3 linked regions of the Macaca mulatta genome follow. The protein of the gene in region 2 interacts with the protein of the main gene of each other region in a biochemical or structural test. Links are inferred from orthologs where the notes say so. Each region holds a gene or a part of one and is shown on either strand. Other genes may lie near its edges.

Region 1 (5,724 bases), on a different chromosome or scaffold from region 2:
ATCAAATGAAAATACAAGAAAAGGCTTTGTGTGTTCTCACCTGAATTATGCAATGGATGCTTATTTATAGAAAAAGGTTGTTGATACTGAATTAATTTGAAATTATAGCTTCACGTATCTGTCCTCCCAAAGCCTGTGTCCACATTAGAAACACACCTTAGAAACACACGCTGAATCCACGCACCACCTCTACTTTCCTGGCACTTCTCCAGGGGCATCTGTTCCCTCCTCAGAAAAATGCACAACCCACTTGTCATACAACTATGCAACACACGCACAGTATGACGAATCAGAAGCAACTGTGAACAGCAGAGAAATCAAGTTCAAAGTCAAAGCAAATGTCAAGTGCCCGGCGCCTCCCCTCTGTAGAGTAACTTCTGGCCCACACCTCCAGGACACTCCTGGGCACACAGCCTCCTCCACCCTTCCTGAGGCCATGCGACCCTGTCCACAGCCTCCTACCTTCAAGGAGAGGGGAGCAAACCTCACATTATCTTCACTCAGCATTTCCAGTCCCTCCCCATGTTTAAACACACCTCAGAAACCCCCATCACAGGCTGTGTCTTCAAGTAATTTTTTTGACCATTTTTATGATTTCACAAAATCAACAATCCGTTAGCTTTCCTGAGAGATATGCCACTACAGAAACACACTTTGTGACCACTTTACTTTTTCTCTTTTACCAACTTTCCCTATTTTTAAAGGAAGATCCAGCTAGCTATCCCACATAGACCAGCAAATGATGCATGGATTTAAAATTATGAGAACTCACATGGCATGAAGGGAATCAGTGCTGTGAAATACAGGAAAGCCGTTCCTATAATGGTTTGATGACATGCCAGAAAGTTTATTTTTACTGTGAACAAATCCCACTCTTCCCATAACAGCTTCAGCCTTGGCAAGGCATCCAACTGAAAGGTCTGGCTGTTGTCGTACAGGAGGAGATGGATAAAAGGGGTGGCCAGTGCCACTTTCAGGACATTCCAGTCCACAGCTTCTAGCCAGTGACTTCACCCCGAAGAGATAATCTGATGTTTCAGTGTTCACAAAAGCTTATCTCTTTATTGGGTTGTTTTGAGCATTTTTAAAAAGTCCTGTGTTGACTTTAAAGTGGCTCAGAGACATTGCCTAAGGCAAGACTAAGGGGCATCACCCAAAGACAAAAAATCCCCACGAAAGGGGCTCACAATAGAAGGGAGAGTGACTATGGAGAGGGGTGCTGAGATTTAGGGATGTCAGTGATGGTGGCAGGAACTGCAGAGCTGGTGTGGCGAGGTGCGGGTCCTTCTTCTCTGTGCCTATGCCCTGGCCCATTTGCGTTTGTCTAGAACACATGCGTGGTCCTTGCACTCTCAAAAGCCTGGGTTGCTTCTCCATACAGAATCGGCTCACCCGTCGGCTCTCCTGTGTGTGAGGCCTTCTTGCCCTTTCCAAGCGTCTCCTCTGCCCATACCCTGCCTGCACCCCAGCTCCCTTTGGGTTGTATGGCAGCCCCCGGGAAGTTCCTCTGTAGCGTGCACCATGCTCTGTACTCCCCGGTACCCAGCAGCCTGCTCCATGGCCACTTCCCACCTGCTGCAGTGGGCCAAGTTACCGCCCCGCTGTGCCTCGGTTTCCTCACCTGGGAAGCGAGGGTAACCCACACCACCTCCCTCCGAGGACACTGATAACAAAGGAGGAGCTCATCAGCATCTGCACACAGTAAGCGCTCAGCGAATGGCCTCACTTCACAAAATAAATCTTTGGTGATTCTAGATTGATAACCACATTTTTTTTAATCCACCTGAAAGTGAGAAACAAAACTACTTATCTGAGAGGACACCAGTGAGAAGAGTCTGGGCCCAAGGAATAGTGCCTGTGACCCTGTAGGGAGAGGGCTCTGCTGTCCCACAGAGCAAGACTGCCCCTCCACCCCGGGGACTTAGCGCAGGCAGCCCTGGGGCACATATGGGCAAGTTCAGCCAGAACTCGAGGTTCAAGGGTCCTGGGCAACTACTCCAGCAGGAAGGCAGGCCTTCTGGCTTTCCAGCTCACCCTCGGGCACCTTCGCCATGCGACTGCAACTCTATATTCCCAGGCGCTCCCCAAGGCTACTGTGATGCTCCCAAGAGACACTCCCAAGAGAAAAACAGCTCTCCCACTAGACTTAACTAAGTACAGGAGCTAAGTACAAGGGGTCACGCTTCAAAGAACAAAGTCGAACAAACCCTGGGACAGGCATCATTCAGCATCAATGAATATGACAAAAAGTGAGAAGTCAGAGGGGAAGCTGGGGTGGGAAGCTGGCGAGGCAGCTGACCACAGGCGCCAGGGCCACTGCACCCTCTCCCCTCCGTAAGAAACAGCGGCCACCTGGAGCAAGGTGATTATCTGGGCTGCGGAAGACCGAAGATGTCAGACCACAAAGAAAACTCTCAGAAGTTTCTAGAAGCAAGGAAGATCCCAGGAAATGAACGGAGCTCCCTGGAAGATGGGGTGCTGAGACAGGAAGCACCGGAACCCCATCCTGACAGAGGCCAATGAGGGCAAGGGGCAGTACCAGCAGAGATGGCTGTACATCCTCCACGAAGGCCCAGAGAGGCAGGCAGGGTCCCACGGAGCCCCACGCCATCCCCGCCATGGACTGCAGCAGGGCAGACAGGCCGATCCTTGAGGGCTGCCGCTGGCTCTCAGCTTGACTCTATAAAGATCTTCATTCAGAATGTCTAAGGTGCTCTCAGCACCTTCTCCTTCAACACGACCGTTCTCTAGACACCCTCCTCCCAGGCACTCGAGACAAAATCCAAGTCACCCTCCACACACTCTCTGTCTCCTCACAGCCCTGGCAACATTCAAGTGCTGGCAAAACGCAGCTGCCCCTCCTCGGCAACGCGCTCAAATCCCCTCTTTCTTCATCCTCGGGCAGCGCACAATCATCTCCCATTCGGGGGCTCCTGAAACCGCTTCCAAACCGGCCATGCTGTGCCAACCCTGCTGCCCTCTACCACTGTCCCCATGACCCCTGGCAGCCAGAATGCTGGTGTCAAAACTCAAACCCAGCCCCTTCACGCACCTGTCCAGAACTCTTCCCCATGTGGCTCCTGAAAAGGGCACACCAAGTGTTTCAGCACTGGCCTCCATCTGCATCATCTCTTCTGCTTATAAAACCTCTGCCTCCATCTATCTGAGCTCCTACAACCCTTTGACATCTGTTCAGAGATCCCACCTCCCAGGAACCTCCTTCAACGTCCCCAGCACGTTCCTCCCTCCAGCCTCCCTGTTTCCACAGAGATGTGCCTACCCATGAATTAGCAGAGGAATGTGGCCAAATGCAACTCCGAGGGAGGTTTGGGGTTATACGACAAGCTCCGGGGGGTGCTGTAGCTGCTAGCCTCCCAACCCTACTCTGGGTAGTGAGGGCTTGGGGCATGCCATCAGCTCTATGGCTGTTCTTTCAATCTTCCCAGAGATTTTTCCTCTGGTGGTTTTCCTGCATATCCCTCTATCTAGCACAGTGCCTTGCACATAGCAGGCACTCAATAAAAAGTACTGGAATTGAACCGGCTACAAAGTTCAACCCAAGCGCGGCACACCACACACACTCAGTGTATCCGTTATCCCATCAAAGGAATGTATGTGCCTCTTGGTTTTGCAAGGCCAACACTGTTCCCCCCAAGACCATTTAACTCACAGAGAGAGATGTCGTCGACAGCTCTCACCCTTGGAGAAGGCTCTGCCCGTGAGGCCTGGACTTACCTGACAGCAAGGATGTGCACAGGCTGGGAGCGCTGCACCCTCTGCCTCGGGGACACCTGTGGCTGGACGGACCGAGGGCCTGAAGCCCGAGGTTGGCTGCGGTCATGCTGGCCATTCTGCAGGAGGGGCACTGTGTCTGACTGCATGCTGCAGGCTGAGTACAGGCTATCCAGGGATGCGTTCATATCGTTCACCAGGGCTTCCAGGTCCACATCATCCTCTGCACAGAAAAAGGCAAGAGCAAAAAAGAAACTTTAGCAGTGGAGAGCAATCAAACCCAAATGTACATCTTGGTAATCAGGTTCCAAACCTCAATCCTATTTTTCAAATGCTATGTAAGCGGTAGTGGGGCAACACTGAGAGAAGTATGACTGTATGGAAGCATGCATATTACATGTATTCATCATGATTGACATTCCGAGGCAATTCAATCATTAGAGCTGGGCTGCATTTCTACCTGTCTCCAGGGAGAAGCCATTTGGAGCATCTGCTCAGTTCCCTTCAGCACCCTGTTCTCTCCTCCCCACCCACTCCGGTAGGCCACACACAGCCATAGCTGCATAGCACAACCCCACTGGCCTGGACTCAGCTGACTGAATCACAGGTGGTCTCCCAAGATCAGGACTCTCTCCTCCCTGGGATTCCAGAAGTGAAACAAGAGACAGAAACAGAGCAGCACCCAACACTGTGACACTGGTTCCAGCCCAGAAAGGTTAAGTAGGAGCTGAAACTGTGACAGAGGTTTATGTGTGGCTGCTACTACAACACACGCCTGTGGGCTTCGGGTGCCCACCCATCCTCTTGATTGGCCAGAGTGCAGAAGGAAGCCCATCTTCACATCTTCTCTCTCTGCATGGGGCAGTGCAGAGAGAGAAGCCACAATGGCACAGAGAGTAAGCCGAGAGAGAGAGAGCGGAAAATGCCCTTTAGTAAGGGAGGAATGAGCACACAGAGGCTGTGATGGTTGGTTTTATGTGTCAACTTGGCTGGGCCATGGTGCCGGGTTTTAGCTAAACACTAGACTAGACTAGATGCTGTGAAGGTATTTTTTAGATGCAATTAACATTTAAACCACAGACTTTGAGTAAAGCAGATTGTTCTTCCTCATGTGAGAGGGCCTCAGCCCATCACCTGAAGACCTGAATAGAAGAAAAAGCCCGGCCTCCAAGGGGAAAGATGGAATTTTGCCTCCAGACCTGAACTGCAACCCTTCCCTGGACGTCCAGCCTGCCAACCTGCCCTGCAGATTTTGGACTTGCTAGCCTCCAGTGTCATAAGCCAATTCCTAAAATACATATGTCTCTCTCTGTATATAGCCTATTTAATGGGTTGCAGCCCTATCTCTGTTTCTCTGGAGAAGCAGACTTAACACACATGGGCTCAGGATCACAGACAGCAAGACGCTCTTCCTAACAAAGGCTACAGCGTTTGGTCGGTAGGAAGGAAAGCAGAGACTGGCACTTGCAAACTTGCTCACCCTGGCCTGCTCCTACTGGCTCTGGGCACAGGGCCTGGGACATGGGCTTCCTATTTCTTAAGAGTCCTCAACTCTAATAAGAGCTTAGCAACAGTGTCCACCCCACACGGGGGTTGTAAGGACTAAGTTAGTTATTATCTGCTTTATAACAGAGCTTGGCACACAGTAAACAGGAAGATGTTATTTATTAGCCCTATTTCATCTATTTCTTACAGAATAACAAAAAGTGGTCATTATTAACCTGGCTTAACAGCTGAGGAAACAGGCCTGGAAGAATTAAATCACCTGCCCAAGGTCACATAAGCAGTATTGAAAACAAGCTTTGCAGCCCTCATTCTCCCCTACCAGGTGTGTGCTCCTCACAGAAGCTCCAGAGGGGCACTCTGCCCTCTGGGTTGGAAGGCTTTTGTTTTAAAGGGCTCCCCTCATCTCCCAAGGTTAAAGGGCATAACAAGACAAGACATAAGGAAACCAAATGACAACAAGGAGGGAGGGAGGTCCTGGGCAGCCAC
Region 2 (6,395 bases):
AGATCACTTGAGGTCAGAAGTTTGAGACCAGCCTAACCAATATGGCGAAACCCCATCTCTACTAAAAATACAAAAATTAGCCGAGGGTGGTGATGGATGCCTGTAATCGCAGCTACTCAGGAGGCTGAGGCAGGAGATGCACGTGAACCTGAAAGGTGGAGGTTGCAGTGGGCAGTGAGTAAAGATCGTGTCACTGCATTCCAGCCTGGGTGACAGAGTGAGAACCTGTCTCAAAAAAAAAAAAAAAAAGGCCGGGCGCAGTGGCTCATGCCTGTAATCCAAGCACTTTGGGAGGCTGAGGCGGGTGGATCATGAGGTCAGGAGATTGAGACCGTCCTGGCTAACACGGTGAAACCCTGTCTCTACTAAAAATATAAAAAATTAGCCGGTGTTGTGAAACACACCTGTAATCCCAGCTACTGGGGAGGCTGAGGCAGGAGAATCCCTTGAACCTGGGAGGTGGAGGTTGCAGTGAGCCGAGATCGTGCCACTGCACTCCAGCCTGGGTGACAGAGCAAGACTCCGTCTCAAAAAAAAAAAAAAAAGCCACATTGGTTGACATTAGAGATTAATGATCTAATGATCTGAAAAGCTCTTTGCCCCTCCCCACGCCTTCAAGAGGCATCACAGCCCATTTATTTGATAGGATTTTGTTCACCATTACCCCAAACATGGGGGGTATGGAGGCTCAGACTCAAAAGAACAAAGATTTGTTAAGAAACCATTGCTCTGCAGCCACACTAGCTAGATTCCAATCTCAGCCCTGCTGCCTGCTGGCCTCAAACGAAGTTTTCTCACTTGTGAAAAGGGATGATTAAATCACACCTCGTGTGGGGTTTTGCCGTGAGGATTAACTGAGATTATATATGCAAAGCGAATAGAACAGCACCTGCTGAGAGCTTGCTCTTACAATTCTTAGGAAGGTATTACGCAGAGAATAAAGAACTTCTTAAGATGATAAAGGAGCCCAGTACACCCAGGGTTTCTGTGCCCCACTGCAGAACAAATATTTACTGAACACCTACTATGTGCCAGGCACCGTTCTGGGGTCTAAAAATACAGTGGTGAACAACATCAACAACAAACCATAAACCCCTGCCCATATGGAAGCCATAAATGTGAAAAGAAATGGTAAATCTATTTACTGACCCTGAAAGTCCAGGCACAGATCCACGATTAATTACCAAAGCTACAAGGAACAGAAGAGCAGTGAACCACACAAACGCACACACAGAATCTGGCATAGTTCTAAACCACTCGTCTTGGATTTTTTTTTTTAAGACAAACTCTCACTCTGTCGCCAGGCTGGAGTGCAGAGGTGCCATCTCAGCTCACTGCAACCTCCTCCTCCCCAGTTCAAGCAATTATCCTGCCTCAGCCTCCCAAGTAGCTGGGATTACAGGTGCACGCCACCACATCCCGCTAATTTTTGTATTTTGAGCAGAGAAGGGAGTTTCACTATGTTGGCTAGTATGGTCTCGATCTCCTGACCTCCTGATCCGCCCGCCTCAGCCTCCCAAAGTGCTGGGATTACAGGCGTGAGTCACAACAGCCAGCCGGATTTTCTTAACAACAACCCAAATTAAACGCCACCCTTCATTGAGCACCTACTGTCTACCAAGCACCTGGGGGCGGGGTGGCCGCAGGGCTTTTAAACATTATGTAATTCACAGAGTTGACTCAGCACACCCGGTTGGTCCACTCTAGCACCTCTGATTTTACATGTACCCGGTTCCCCATCAATAAATGTAGGAGCTTCAATTCCTTCCCTCCCTGACCCCTTCCTCATTACCACTGATTTCCTTTTATGGAGAAATCTGAAACAGTAACCCAACAGATATGTTTAAAGCAGGGCCTCAGACCCCACAGTGGGACACTCAGGCTATATTGTCTTAAATGATTGCGCCATCTTTATCTTACAACCCCAAAGGTGCCTGCTGTCAAGCCCAAGGAAGATGCTACCCACACGTGGGAGAGGGGCCCATGGGGTCAGGGGGAAGGAAAGGCTCACTCAAGGTCAAAGGCTCCTTCATGAAGGGCAGGGCTGAGGGGAGAGGAGGAGTCAAGGAGACAGCAGACAAGGGACAGTAGTCCAAATTCTTGTGCAGAATGGGACACAGAGAGGTTCAAGTCCTGGCTCTGGCACTGACTTAAGGGCAAGGGAGTTATGCATCCTACCTGAGCCTTAGTTTACTCCTCTGTGAAATGGGTACAGAACTGTATCCGCCTCCCGGGGCCACTGTGACAGTCCAGAGAGATAAGATAGACCAGCCTGTGGCGTGCGGTGATACTAATTACAATAAATAGGGTAAAAAACCGCCACTACTTCTGCTACAATTGCTGCTGTTGCTAAGGCTTTAGAATTTGCCTCCAGACATCTGGAAACAGAACCCAAAAGGGTAAACGTGGACCTAGAGTCCGGGGTGGCCACGGGCCTAAATCCAAGGTAGCTGGGTAGAGGGGGTTTCTGCAGTCCCCGACCCCAGGCAGCGTCACCCACCGGTGAGGCACTCGGGGCGATTGGCTCTACCTACACCATATGCGCTCGGGGGACTTGGCTGTCCGGGGCTCTCCAGACCCAGTGACCCCACTTCCCGGCCGCGACCCAAAGACGACGCATGTCGTGTCTCCGGAGCGACTTGGGCTCGGAGGGGCTGGGGCACGGGTCGGAGGCGCGCTCCAGAGAGGCGCCCGCGGCGGGGCGGGCACTGGGGCAAGGTTCCTCGGGCTCAGGTCGGGCACGCGGGGCGCGGAGGCGCGAGCCCGGGCGGGCAAAGGCCAAGGTCAGCGGCTTCCCGCCCACCCCCCCACCACGCGAGGCAGGAGCTACAGTCCCGGCCACCGCCCCCCGCCCCCGGGGAGGGTTCTCAGTCCACAAGCCGGGGCTCGATTTTGGCTCGGGTGGGGTCCTCTCCCCATCGCGGCGCTCCCCGTCCACGCCCGCGCCCCCAGACTCACCCTCTCCGGGGTACAGGTGGCCCGCGGCGCCCAGTAGCAGCGCGGCCACCGCCACCAGCAGCGGCGCGGCAGCTGTCCCCCGCCGGCCCCCGGTGCCCATGGCTGCGGGAGCGCGGGGTCTCCTCGGATCAGAGCGCGCGGCGCTGGCCCGCGGGGGTCATGCTCTGAGGCGGCCGTCCGAGAGGCGCTGGGGGCCGCGCGTCCTTCTCTTCCACGCCGGCGACCCGCGGGCCGCAGCCCCGCTGCCCGGGAGGGCCCTAGAGACAGCCCCGGGAAGGAGGCGCGCGGCTTCGCCCGCTACAAATAGGGAGCGGAGGCCCTCGCGGTGGCGGCCCCGACCCCCGGCCGCTGCGGCCCGGGCCCCGTCCCACGATGTCGGGGCGGGGAGCTCGGCGCTGCGCCCCAGACTGTCTCTCGGCTCTCGGCCCCGCGCGCTCTGGGTCGCGACCTGCGGGCTCCGGGACAGAGGGACGCGCGGACCAACGGACAAGCTGACGGGCGGGCGGGCACCTGGGCTGGCGGGTGGCGGGCGGGCGGCGGGAGCGAGGGCTGCTCGGGCCCGTAAACAACGCGGCCCGTCAGCTGGGCCCGGTGCGGGCCGCGGGAAAAGGCGGCGCGGATCTGGCCTAGGAAGGGACTCTGCGCCCGGGAGAGGCCCAGGAGAGGGAGGGAAAGCAGGCAGGAGAGGGAGGTGCCGCCCGGCCCCGCCCCGCCCGCCTCCCCGCCTGCCTCCCCGCCTCCTGTGCCGGGCCCCGCGCTGGAGGCCCTGGGCGCGCCGGGACCGAGGGGGCGCCCCAGATCCGCGGGCCCTACAGCCCCGAGTCTCCTCCAGTTTCAGACCCCCGGAGGCGCCCCACAGGCCCTACCCAGCAGCACAGGTCCTTTCTCTACCGTTTTGCTATTTTGTTCATAGTGGGCTTTGGAGGATTCCTGTTGATTTTTTTTTTTTTAACACTGCATTAAAATGTTTATTTTGGTGACTCGAGGTGGTTTTCGTTTCTTTCTTTCTTTCTTTTTTTCACTCCCTTAAATTTTGCAGCCCAGGCGAGTAGTGTCTCACTCGCCTTTCCCCAGTCCGGGCCTGGCCAGCGACACTCGTCCCAGAGCGCGTGGGCGCCCCCAGATGTCCCGCCCGCGCGTGCGCCCCCGCCCAGGGGCGAGACCCAAGCCAGGCCCCTGGGGACAGCCACGTGCCCGCGCGCCCAGTGCGCTCCCTGTGTTCAAGTTAAAGAAATGACACCTGGAAAAATGTGCAGACGCTTCTGAAAGAGCAAAGAAGAGGCCAAAGACGACTCCGGAGACCTCGAATAGGGCGCAGGTGGACATCTCAGATTTTCAGCATCTCAGATTTTCAGCAGACCAGCCTGTATGTGTCTGAACGTCTAGCAACGACATTCACCAACAAGGCGGGACAGCAGTTCCACCTACTCAGTATAGGAAAGCCAGAACTCAATGGGAAGAGGGTTCCTCCACCCCTCACTCCTGTATGGTCTTGGGCCAGCTACTTTACTGTGTCTGGGCCAGTTTCACTTGTGTAATGGGTTTGATAATACCTGCAGGCCAGATCTGGGGAGGTACCCGGGAAAGAAAACTTAAGAAAGCGCCCAGCACAACCCTAGACCCAAGGCATTCATTCTTCTTTTATTAAATAGTTTGCTAGGAGCTGGACCCACTGTTCATGCAACAGGCCAAACCTATTCCTGCCTCCAGGCCTTTACCCCAGCGTCTCCCTTGCCTGTAACACTGCAGGATGGCTTCATCTCTGCTCCAAGGAGCCATCCCTAACCACACTTTTGCAAATCCTCCCCACCAGTTCCCTGTTCCCTTCTCTCTCTCTCTCTCTTTTTTTTTTTACATGGAGTTTTGCTCTGTTGCCCAGGCTGGAGTGCAATGGCCAGATCTCAGTTCACTGCAACCTCCCCTGCCTGGGTTCAAGTGATTCTCTTGCCTCAACCTCTCAAGTAACTGGGATTACAGGCATGCACCACCACACCCGGCTAATTTTTGTATTTGGTCTCGAACTCCTGACCTCAGGTGATCCACCGGCCTTGGCCTCCCAAAGTGCTGGGACAGGCCTGAGCCACTGTGCCCAGCCCCTTCTCTTTCATTTTCATAGCATGCTTACCTCTCTACCTGCAATTCTATGTTCTCTTTTCTTTTTTTTCCTTTTGACAGAATCTTGCTGTCACCCAGGCAGGAGTGCAGTGGCGCAATCCTAGCTTACTGCAGCCTTGAACTCCTGGCCTCAAGCAATTCTCCTGCCTTGGCCTCCCAAGGTGCTAGGATTACAGGCATGCACCACCATGATTGGCCTTGAAATTCTTATTCAACGTTTTCTGTGTCTTCTCCCCTCCCCCGAAAGTGAAAATCTTTTCGGTCTTGTTTCACTGCTTAAACCCAGTGGCTGACATATCTGTTGCTTAATAAATATTTGTTGAGTGGGAGAATCAACAAGCAATAAGTAGTAGGGGGATTTTTCAGTGAGCAAAATAAACATGACCCATTTCCTTATGGAGTTCACAACTGAGCCAGGGAGAAAGCCCTTAAAATAACTGAGTGTATGATGAGTTGAGGGGAGTGGGAGGTGCATAGGGAGGAGTCTGCTGAGGACGTGAGTTTTTTTGTTTGTTTGTTTGCTTGCTTTTTGACGGATCTTGCTCTGTCACCTAGGCTGGAGTGCAGTGGCACGATCTTGGCTCACTGCAACCTCCGCCTCCCAGGTTCAAACAATTCTCCTGCCTCAGCCTCCCGAGTAGCTGGGACTACAGGTGCACACCACCATGCCCGGCTAATTTTTGTATATTTAGTAGAGACGGGGTTTCACCATATTGGACAGGCTGGTCTCAAACTCCTGACCTCAAGAGATCCGCCTGTCTCAGCCTCCCCAAGTGCTGGGATTACAGGTGCGTGAGCCACTGAGGATGTCGTTTGAGCTTAAGTCTGAAAATGAAGAGGAGCCAGCCTAGGGAAGCACAGGGATGTGTTTCAGGTAGAGGGGAAGGCATGAGCAAAGGCTCAGAGGAGGGTGGACAAGGCATTCTTGCAACTGAACCAGGCACTCACTGTAACTGTAGAAAAGAAACAGGAGAAAGTGAAACCATGGGTAAGCGCTGCAGTGGGCTCTTCAACAACATGAGTTTGAACCGTGCACGTCTTTTTTTTTTTTTTTTTTTTTTTTTTTTTTTGAGGCAGAGTCTTGCTCTGTCACCCCAGCTGGAGTGCAGTGGAACAATCTCAGCTGCAACCTCCATGTCCCAGGTTCAAGCGATTCTCCTGCCTCAGCTTCCCAAGTATCTGGGACTACAGGCACACGCCACCACACCCAGTTATTTTTTGTATTTTTAGTACAGATGTGGTTTCACCATGTTGGCCAGGCTGGTCTCGAACTCCTGACCTCAGGTGATCTGATCAGCCTCCCAAAGTGAGGTCATCTTTTA
Region 3 (6,510 bases), on a different chromosome or scaffold from region 2:
ATCCTCGAACTCCTAGGCTCAAGCAATCCTTTTGCTTCAGCCTCCTGAATAGTTGGCACTACAAGCATGAGCAACCATGCCAGGCTACAAAGCCACTTCTTTGCTGGAAGGTGCCTGGCCATGGAATGAGTTCCACTCCTGCCTCCATGACTTCCAACCTGTTTCCTCCTCTGCAGATTGGGAACAGCAATCCCCACCTCCACAATTTGGTGCCCCCACTTTCCCAGGGGAAACTAGGGGACCCTCTAGGTGGTGTTTGCAGAGTCCCCTTCTGGCAGGAGCCACAGGGTTGAATATGAGCTGCCAGATCAGTCTCCTCCCCGGTTCTTCCCCGGGGGCGGCGGCTCCACCTGCTGCAGGAAAGGTAGGACCTGATGGCTCCAGGCCCTCCCAGGCTCAGAGGCTCAGGGCTCAGCCATAGGAAGGAAGCGAGAGGCCATCCTGAAGGTGCTGGAGAACCTGACCCCGGAGGAGCTCAAGAAGTTCAAGATGGGCCGGGCGGGGTGGCTCATGCCTGTAATTCCAGCAGTTTGGGAGGCGAGGCGAAGGCGGGCGGATCACGAGGTCAGGAGATCCAGACCATCCTAGCTAACACGGTGAAACCCCCTCTCTACTAAAAATACAAAAAAAAATTAGCCGGGCGTGGTGGCGGGCGCCTGTAGTCCCAGCTACTCGGGAGGATGAGGCAGGAGAATGGCGTGAACACCGGAGGCGGCAGAGCTTGCAGTGAGCGGAGATCGCGCCACTGCACTCCAGCCTGGGCTACAGAGCAAGAGTCAGTCTCAAAAAAAAAAAAAAGAAAAAAGAAAGAAAATAAAAGAAAGAAAAATTCAAGATGAAACTGGGGACTGTGCCACTGCGCGAGGGCTTTGAGCGTATCCCGCGGGGCGCACTCGGGCAGCTAGACATCGTGGACCTCACCGACCAGCTGGTCGCCTCCTACTACGAGGACTACGCAGTCGAGTTCGTCGTGGCCGTGCTGCTCGACATGGGCATGCTGGAGGAGGCGGCACAGCTGCCGCGGGCCGCGCGAGGGCCACTCTGAGCTGGTACGTGATCTAGGGACCCAACCCCGCTTCCTCGCCAAGGACCCAGGCGTCGGGTCCCGCCCAGAGCCTTCCTGTTCCCCTCCTCCTTCAGGGTCCCTCCTGGGGTCTTCCCTCAGACCTCCGGCCAGCCCCTCCCGGCGGCGAAGGGCTGGGCTGCAGCGAACCCCGGTGGGCTGCATCTCGCCCCACTGCCCCCTTCCAGGCTCCTGGGCTGCCTGGGCCCTGTTCCGTTTCATGGGTTCCGTGCTCTCTTCGCAGATAAAGACGGGCAAGGTTGGGCGAGGTTGGAATGCGCTCAAAGCCCTCGCGCAGTCGCACAGTCCCCAGCTTCATCTTGAATTTCTTTCTTTTCTTTCTTAAGCACAGGTGTGCTGGGATGGGAGGGCTCCCGGGAGGAGGCTCCTGCCCTGAGCTAGGAGACCACCAGCTAGGCCTGGGCTGAACTGGGCCAGGCAGGAGCTGGCGGGACTGAGAGGCTGGGTCCTTGGGAAGCCCGGGGGCCTCGAATACCAACGAAAGGACGGTAGTCTACCCCCTCTAGGAGGCAGGCCAAGGGAAGGAGTAGTGCAACGCCTGTGAAGCCAGCCCCGCGCGCGCACCAGCAGCGTAAGACGACGGCAGTGTCTCCACCTCGGGGACCAAGGACGCCTCCGTGCCTCCAGACCCCGCCTCCTCCAGCCCCTGCACCTGTCATTTCTTCTTCCACTGCCCAATAAATATTCATGACAGACTTTCCTGGGGCTGCGCGCACACGTGCCCGCCGGTAGCTACACGCGTGTGCTTTTGCCACACGTATAGCACGCACTAGCCAGTGTGCGTGGGTCTCTATTTGCCTCTGTCTGGGTGTCTGCTGAGTACCTCGGGACGCACACAACCACGTGTGGGCTCCCAAGGCGTTCGGGACTTCCAGCTCCACCCAGAAAAACATCCTGGACGGGGCTCTCGGTGCCACCCTGGGTCCGCGCACGCAAGTGCAGATCCCGGTTGCCTGGCCCTTCCAGTCTCCCTTTTGGTGAGGCCCCGCCTGGGGACCGTGAGGCCAGCCAAAGTTCCGAAGTTTCAGGGGTGCGTGGGCCTCCGCTGAGCACCACAGGACAGCCCTGGCCCGGCCGCCTGGCTCGGCCCGGAACGCCGCGCCTCCATTCCAAAGTGGGCCAGCGCCGCGCAGGGAGCCTGCCCGACCGGCCCACCTGGTGAAAGAATGAGCGCGTGGGCCGTAGGGGCTGGTCAGTCGCTGCTCCGCCTGGTTCCGGCCCGCCCATCAGACCAGCCCTGGGGCTCCGCCCTCCCATCTCCAGGTCCCTCTAGAGGCTAAGGCCGGGAACCTAGGTTTGCTCAGCCCCCTTCTCGCCAGTCTCCGTCCCTGCGCGGCTTTCCTCTGTCAGCCCCGCCTTCAGCTCCTCAGACACTCTTTCCTGGCTGCTTCGCCCCGCCCCCGACCCCGGCAACTCCAGGTCCTCTTTAGAGACTCAGAATCCAAATCAGTACAGCGACCTCCCCAGCGGCCAGCCCCCGCGCCGCCGAACAACCCCTCCGACCCCGATGCGTTCGGATCCCGCACCTTGAGGCGTGCGTGGGCCTCGGCGGCGGGCAGCAGGCGATGACCGCGGTGCGAGCCGAGTGAGGCGCACACTCCGCACACCAGCGCGCGGTCCTGCTCACAGTAGATGCTCAGCGGGTCCAGGTGCTCCTCGCAGTGGCCCTGCGGCACCTGGGCCAGCCCCTCCACCAGGCGCGCCAGCTGCAGGTTGGTGCTGAGTGCCTGCGGCCGCGTGGGGGCCTGACAGCAGGGGCAGAGAACGGTGCCATCCGCCGCCGGTTCCCCGGCCACGCGGCCCAGGCAGGCGCGACAGAAACTGTGGCCGCACTCGGCTGTCACGGGCGCGTCGAACAGCTGCAGGCACAGCGGGCAGGACAGCTCCTGGTGCAGGAGGCCCGGCGCAGCCGACATGGCGGGCCTGGGTGGAGGAGGAGTCGGTTAGGGGGACCCACGGCGCCGTGCTCCCGGCCCAGCCCTGGCCCAGGCCGGGCCCGCCGCGCCGCAGGGAGAAGCCGTAGCCTGTAAAGACCTCCCATCCTACACTGGATGGGGCTCTGACGGCCAAAGGGGAAGAGGAACTCGGTCTCAGGCCCAAAAGTAGCCTCCACTGCAATTCTCAGCTCCAGCTCCAAAAATATGCTCTATCGGTCAACCCCAGTTCCTGAACACAAGCCCAGGTCCTAGCCCACTGTCCTTGCCCTCGCCTTAGCCCCAGGCTTCAGCCTCTGACCTCAGCCCTGGCCCCAAATTCTCCAGAGCCCCCACTTCGAGACTCCCCTCCCCCACTTTACCAAGATCTCCAGCCCTCCCCTCCCCCCCTTCCAGCCCACGGGACTCACAGGTCTGGTTGGAGATCTTAGGCTGAAAGACACTGGAAGGAGGACCGGTAAGGGTCGAGCCGAGCTGGACTGGGGTCAGGGCTGTGTCCAAAGATCTGAGACAAGCAGCAGGCTCCAAGCAAGGACAGGGACTCACAGGGGAAGCTGGCAGTGGACACCACGCGTGATGGGCACACAGTGCTCAGTGGAAGACCCTCCCAGACTGAGCCATGGCTCCAGGACTATATTTAGCTGCCCTGCCCAATCCCTCCCATCACTTCCGGAAACCGTTCTAAAAGTGAGAGCTGAGTAGTCCCCGTGCACGCATCACATGCCAGGGCCACCTGTCTTGGCCCATCCACTGTTCCCTCCCCAGCCAGCCTGTAGCCAGAGCTCAGAGCCAGCGGGGAGACAGGACCTTTCTCACCACAGAAAAGACAGAAAATTGAGGGGGGATCTCCCCTTTCTCCCCCAACTCCCACCTCCACACTCTCCAGCTCCTTCCTCCTTGCTGGCAGCCGCTCCCCAGCCTGTTGCCCATTCATTCCCCAAGTTTATGGCTGACCAAGGTCACCCTGGCAGGATTATCCCACCTGCAGGAGGGCAGGACCTCACCCCACTCTGAAATGTTTTCTTCCTCCAGAGCTGAGGGGAGGGTCTTCTCCAAGTTGGTCTCTCTAGTACACCCAGGACAAGCCTTGGGGCAAAGTAGGCCTCTCTAAATGCTTGGAGAATTAATGACAGAGAGAGATTGAATAAATGAATGAACTGAATCCAGAGCCTGCAGCCCAGAACTCAATTCTGCCCTGGTTCCTGTATGTGTATCTTTCAAATCTCAGCTGAAATTTCATTTAAGTGGCACTGGGATAACTGGCTAGACATATGCAAGAGAATGAAAGTGGACCCCTGCCTTTCACCATATAAAAAAATTAACTCAAGATGGGTTAAAGACTTAAATGTAAGACTTCAAACCATAAAAATTGTAGAAGAAACCCCAGGAGAAATACCATTCTGGATATCAGCCTTGGTAAACCATTCGTGACTAAGTCCTCAAAGGCAACAAAAACAAAAATTGTTAAGTGGGGCCTCATTAAACTAAAGAGCTTCTTCACAGCAAAAGCAAAAGCAACTATCAACAAACAGACAACTGAAGAATGGAAGAAAATATTCACAAACTATGCATCCAACAAAGATCTACCATCCAGATTATATAAGGAAACTAAACATTTCAACAAGCAGAAAACAACTCCATTAAAAAGTTGGCAAGGGCCAGGTGCGGTGGCTCACACCTGTAATCCCAGCATTTTGGGGGGTCCAGGCGGGTGGAACACTTGAGGTCAGGAGTTTGAGACCAGTCTGGCCAACATGGTGAAACCTCGTCTCTGAAAAGTACAAAACTGGCCGGGCGCGGTGGCTCAAGCCTGTAATCCCAGCACTTTGGGGGGCCGAGATGGGTGGATCACGAGGTCAGGAGATCGAGACCATCCTGGCTAACACAGTGAAACCCCTTCTCTACTAAAAAATACAAAAAACTAACCGGGTGTAGTGGCGGGTGCCTGCAGTCCCAGCTACTCGGGAGGCTGAGGCAGGAGAATGGCATAAACCCGGGAGGCGGAACTTGCAGTGAGCCGAGATCGCGTCACTGCACTCCAGCCTGGGCGACAGAGCGAGACTCCGTCTCAAAAAAAAAAAAAAAAAGAAAAGAAAAATACAAAACTTAGCCGGGTGTGGTGACAGGTGCCTGTAATCCCAGCTACTTGGGAGGCTGAGGCAGGAGAATCGCTTGAACCCGGGAGGCAGAGGTTGCAGTGAACAGAGATCGCACCCTTGCACTCCAGCCTGGGTGACAAGAGTGAAACTCCGTCTCGCAGAGGTTGCAGTGAGCCAAGATCATGCCATTGCACTCCAGCATGGGCAACAAGAGCAAAACTCCGTCTCAAAAAAAAAATCAATAAATATTAAAAAAAAAAAAAAGAAAGAAAGAAAAGAAATTTCATCTAGAATAAAAACCAAAGTGCTAACTGTGGCCCACAAAGCCCTATCTGCTATGACCGCATTAATCACTCTGACCCATTTATCACCCCTTTCCCCGTTGATCACTCGCATCAGGGACTTTTCAATTAAGGTCCCCTCTGCCTGGAACACTCTCCAACCCAAGTACTGCATGGCTTCCTCTGTTTCCTCCCTCAGACTTTGCTCAATATCACCTTTCCAGCAAGGCCTCTCCCAACTCCCTGATTTTAAATCTCCTATCTCCTCAACATCTCACTGCCTGGCTTTCTTTTTCTCCGTAACATTTATCACCATTCTACTTGTTTGCTGGTTTCTTCTCTGTCTCTTCCTACAGAATAGAAATTGTGTTTACTGCTTGTCTCCAGCTTAGACTAAAGTGTGTGACACACATTAGGCGCTCTACAGACACTAGGTGAATGAACAAACATGCAAACTCAGTCCCTCGCATTTGGTCTCTCCATCTTTCTCTTAGCTTCCCTCAAACCTTTCCCTGGTTTTACTCTTTCTTATCTCAACTGCTATCTCTCTCAGAATGAAGTTTTGTTTCTGTTTCAGTCTCTTAATCTCCCCTTTGGACTCTCCCTTTGCCTTCTCTCTTAGGTTCTTAATTTTTTCTTTTCCTTTTTCTTTTTTTTTTTTTTTTTTTTTTGAGATGGAGTCTCACTCTGTCACCCAGGCTGGAGTGCAGCGGCATGATCTCAACTCACTGCAACCTCCACTTCCCAGATTCAAGCGATTCTCCTGCCTCAGCCTCCCAAGTAGCTGGGATTATAGGCACGCTCCACCACGCCCAGCTAATTTTTGTATTTTTAGTAGAGACGGGGTTTCACCATTTTGCCCAGGCTGGTCTCGAACTTCTGACCTCAGGTGATCCACCCGCCTCAGCCTCCCAAAGTGCTGGGATTCCAGGCATGAGCCACTGCACCCAGCTGCTCGTTCCTTCTTGCATGTTGCATGGTGACAGCACAAACTTCTGCTGGTCTGCTTAGGAAGGTAGCTACTTCAGGCTGCCTGACACCTTGTTTAACCTAGGCCCTCATTCAGGCTGTAACCATTTGGTTCTTTTAGGAGGAGAAAAGTTCTATTATTC

Evidence for each region.
Region 1: the proteins of INSR (region 2) and GRB10 form a complex in vitro, tested with the Homo sapiens proteins (5 studies listed by BioGRID and IntAct). The link is inferred for Macaca mulatta from reciprocal best matches to the Homo sapiens genes INSR and GRB10.
Region 3: the proteins of INSR (region 2) and TRIM72 form a complex in vitro, tested with the Homo sapiens proteins (2 studies listed by BioGRID). The link is inferred for Macaca mulatta from reciprocal best matches to the Homo sapiens genes INSR and TRIM72.

Annotation. Positions count from the first base shown.
Region 1 is NC_133408.1:77,844,459-77,850,182, reverse strand, and holds part of GRB10 (growth factor receptor-bound protein 10), read right to left. Parts: intron 4,650-5,724; exon of another isoform or gene 4,193-4,649; intron 3,956-4,192; coding exon 3,736-3,955; intron 1-3,735.
Region 2 is NC_133424.1:8,179,324-8,185,718, forward strand, and holds the start of INSR (insulin receptor), read right to left. Parts: upstream 3,602-6,395; 5' UTR 3,059-3,601; coding exon 2,959-3,058; intron 1-2,958. UniProt on the Homo sapiens protein: Receptor tyrosine kinase which mediates the pleiotropic actions of insulin.
Region 3 is NC_133425.1:29,857,978-29,864,487, reverse strand, and holds the start of TRIM72 (tripartite motif-containing protein 72), read right to left. Parts: upstream 3,708-6,510; 5' UTR 3,429-3,707; intron 3,008-3,428; 5' UTR 3,001-3,007; coding exon 2,611-3,000; intron 1,070-2,610; exon of another isoform or gene 1,046-1,069; coding exon of another isoform or gene 811-1,045; intron 483-810; coding exon of another isoform or gene 395-482; intron 111-394; coding exon of another isoform or gene 77-110; intron 1-76. UniProt on the Homo sapiens protein: Muscle-specific E3 ubiquitin-protein ligase that plays a central role in cell membrane repair by nucleating the assembly of the repair machinery at injury sites.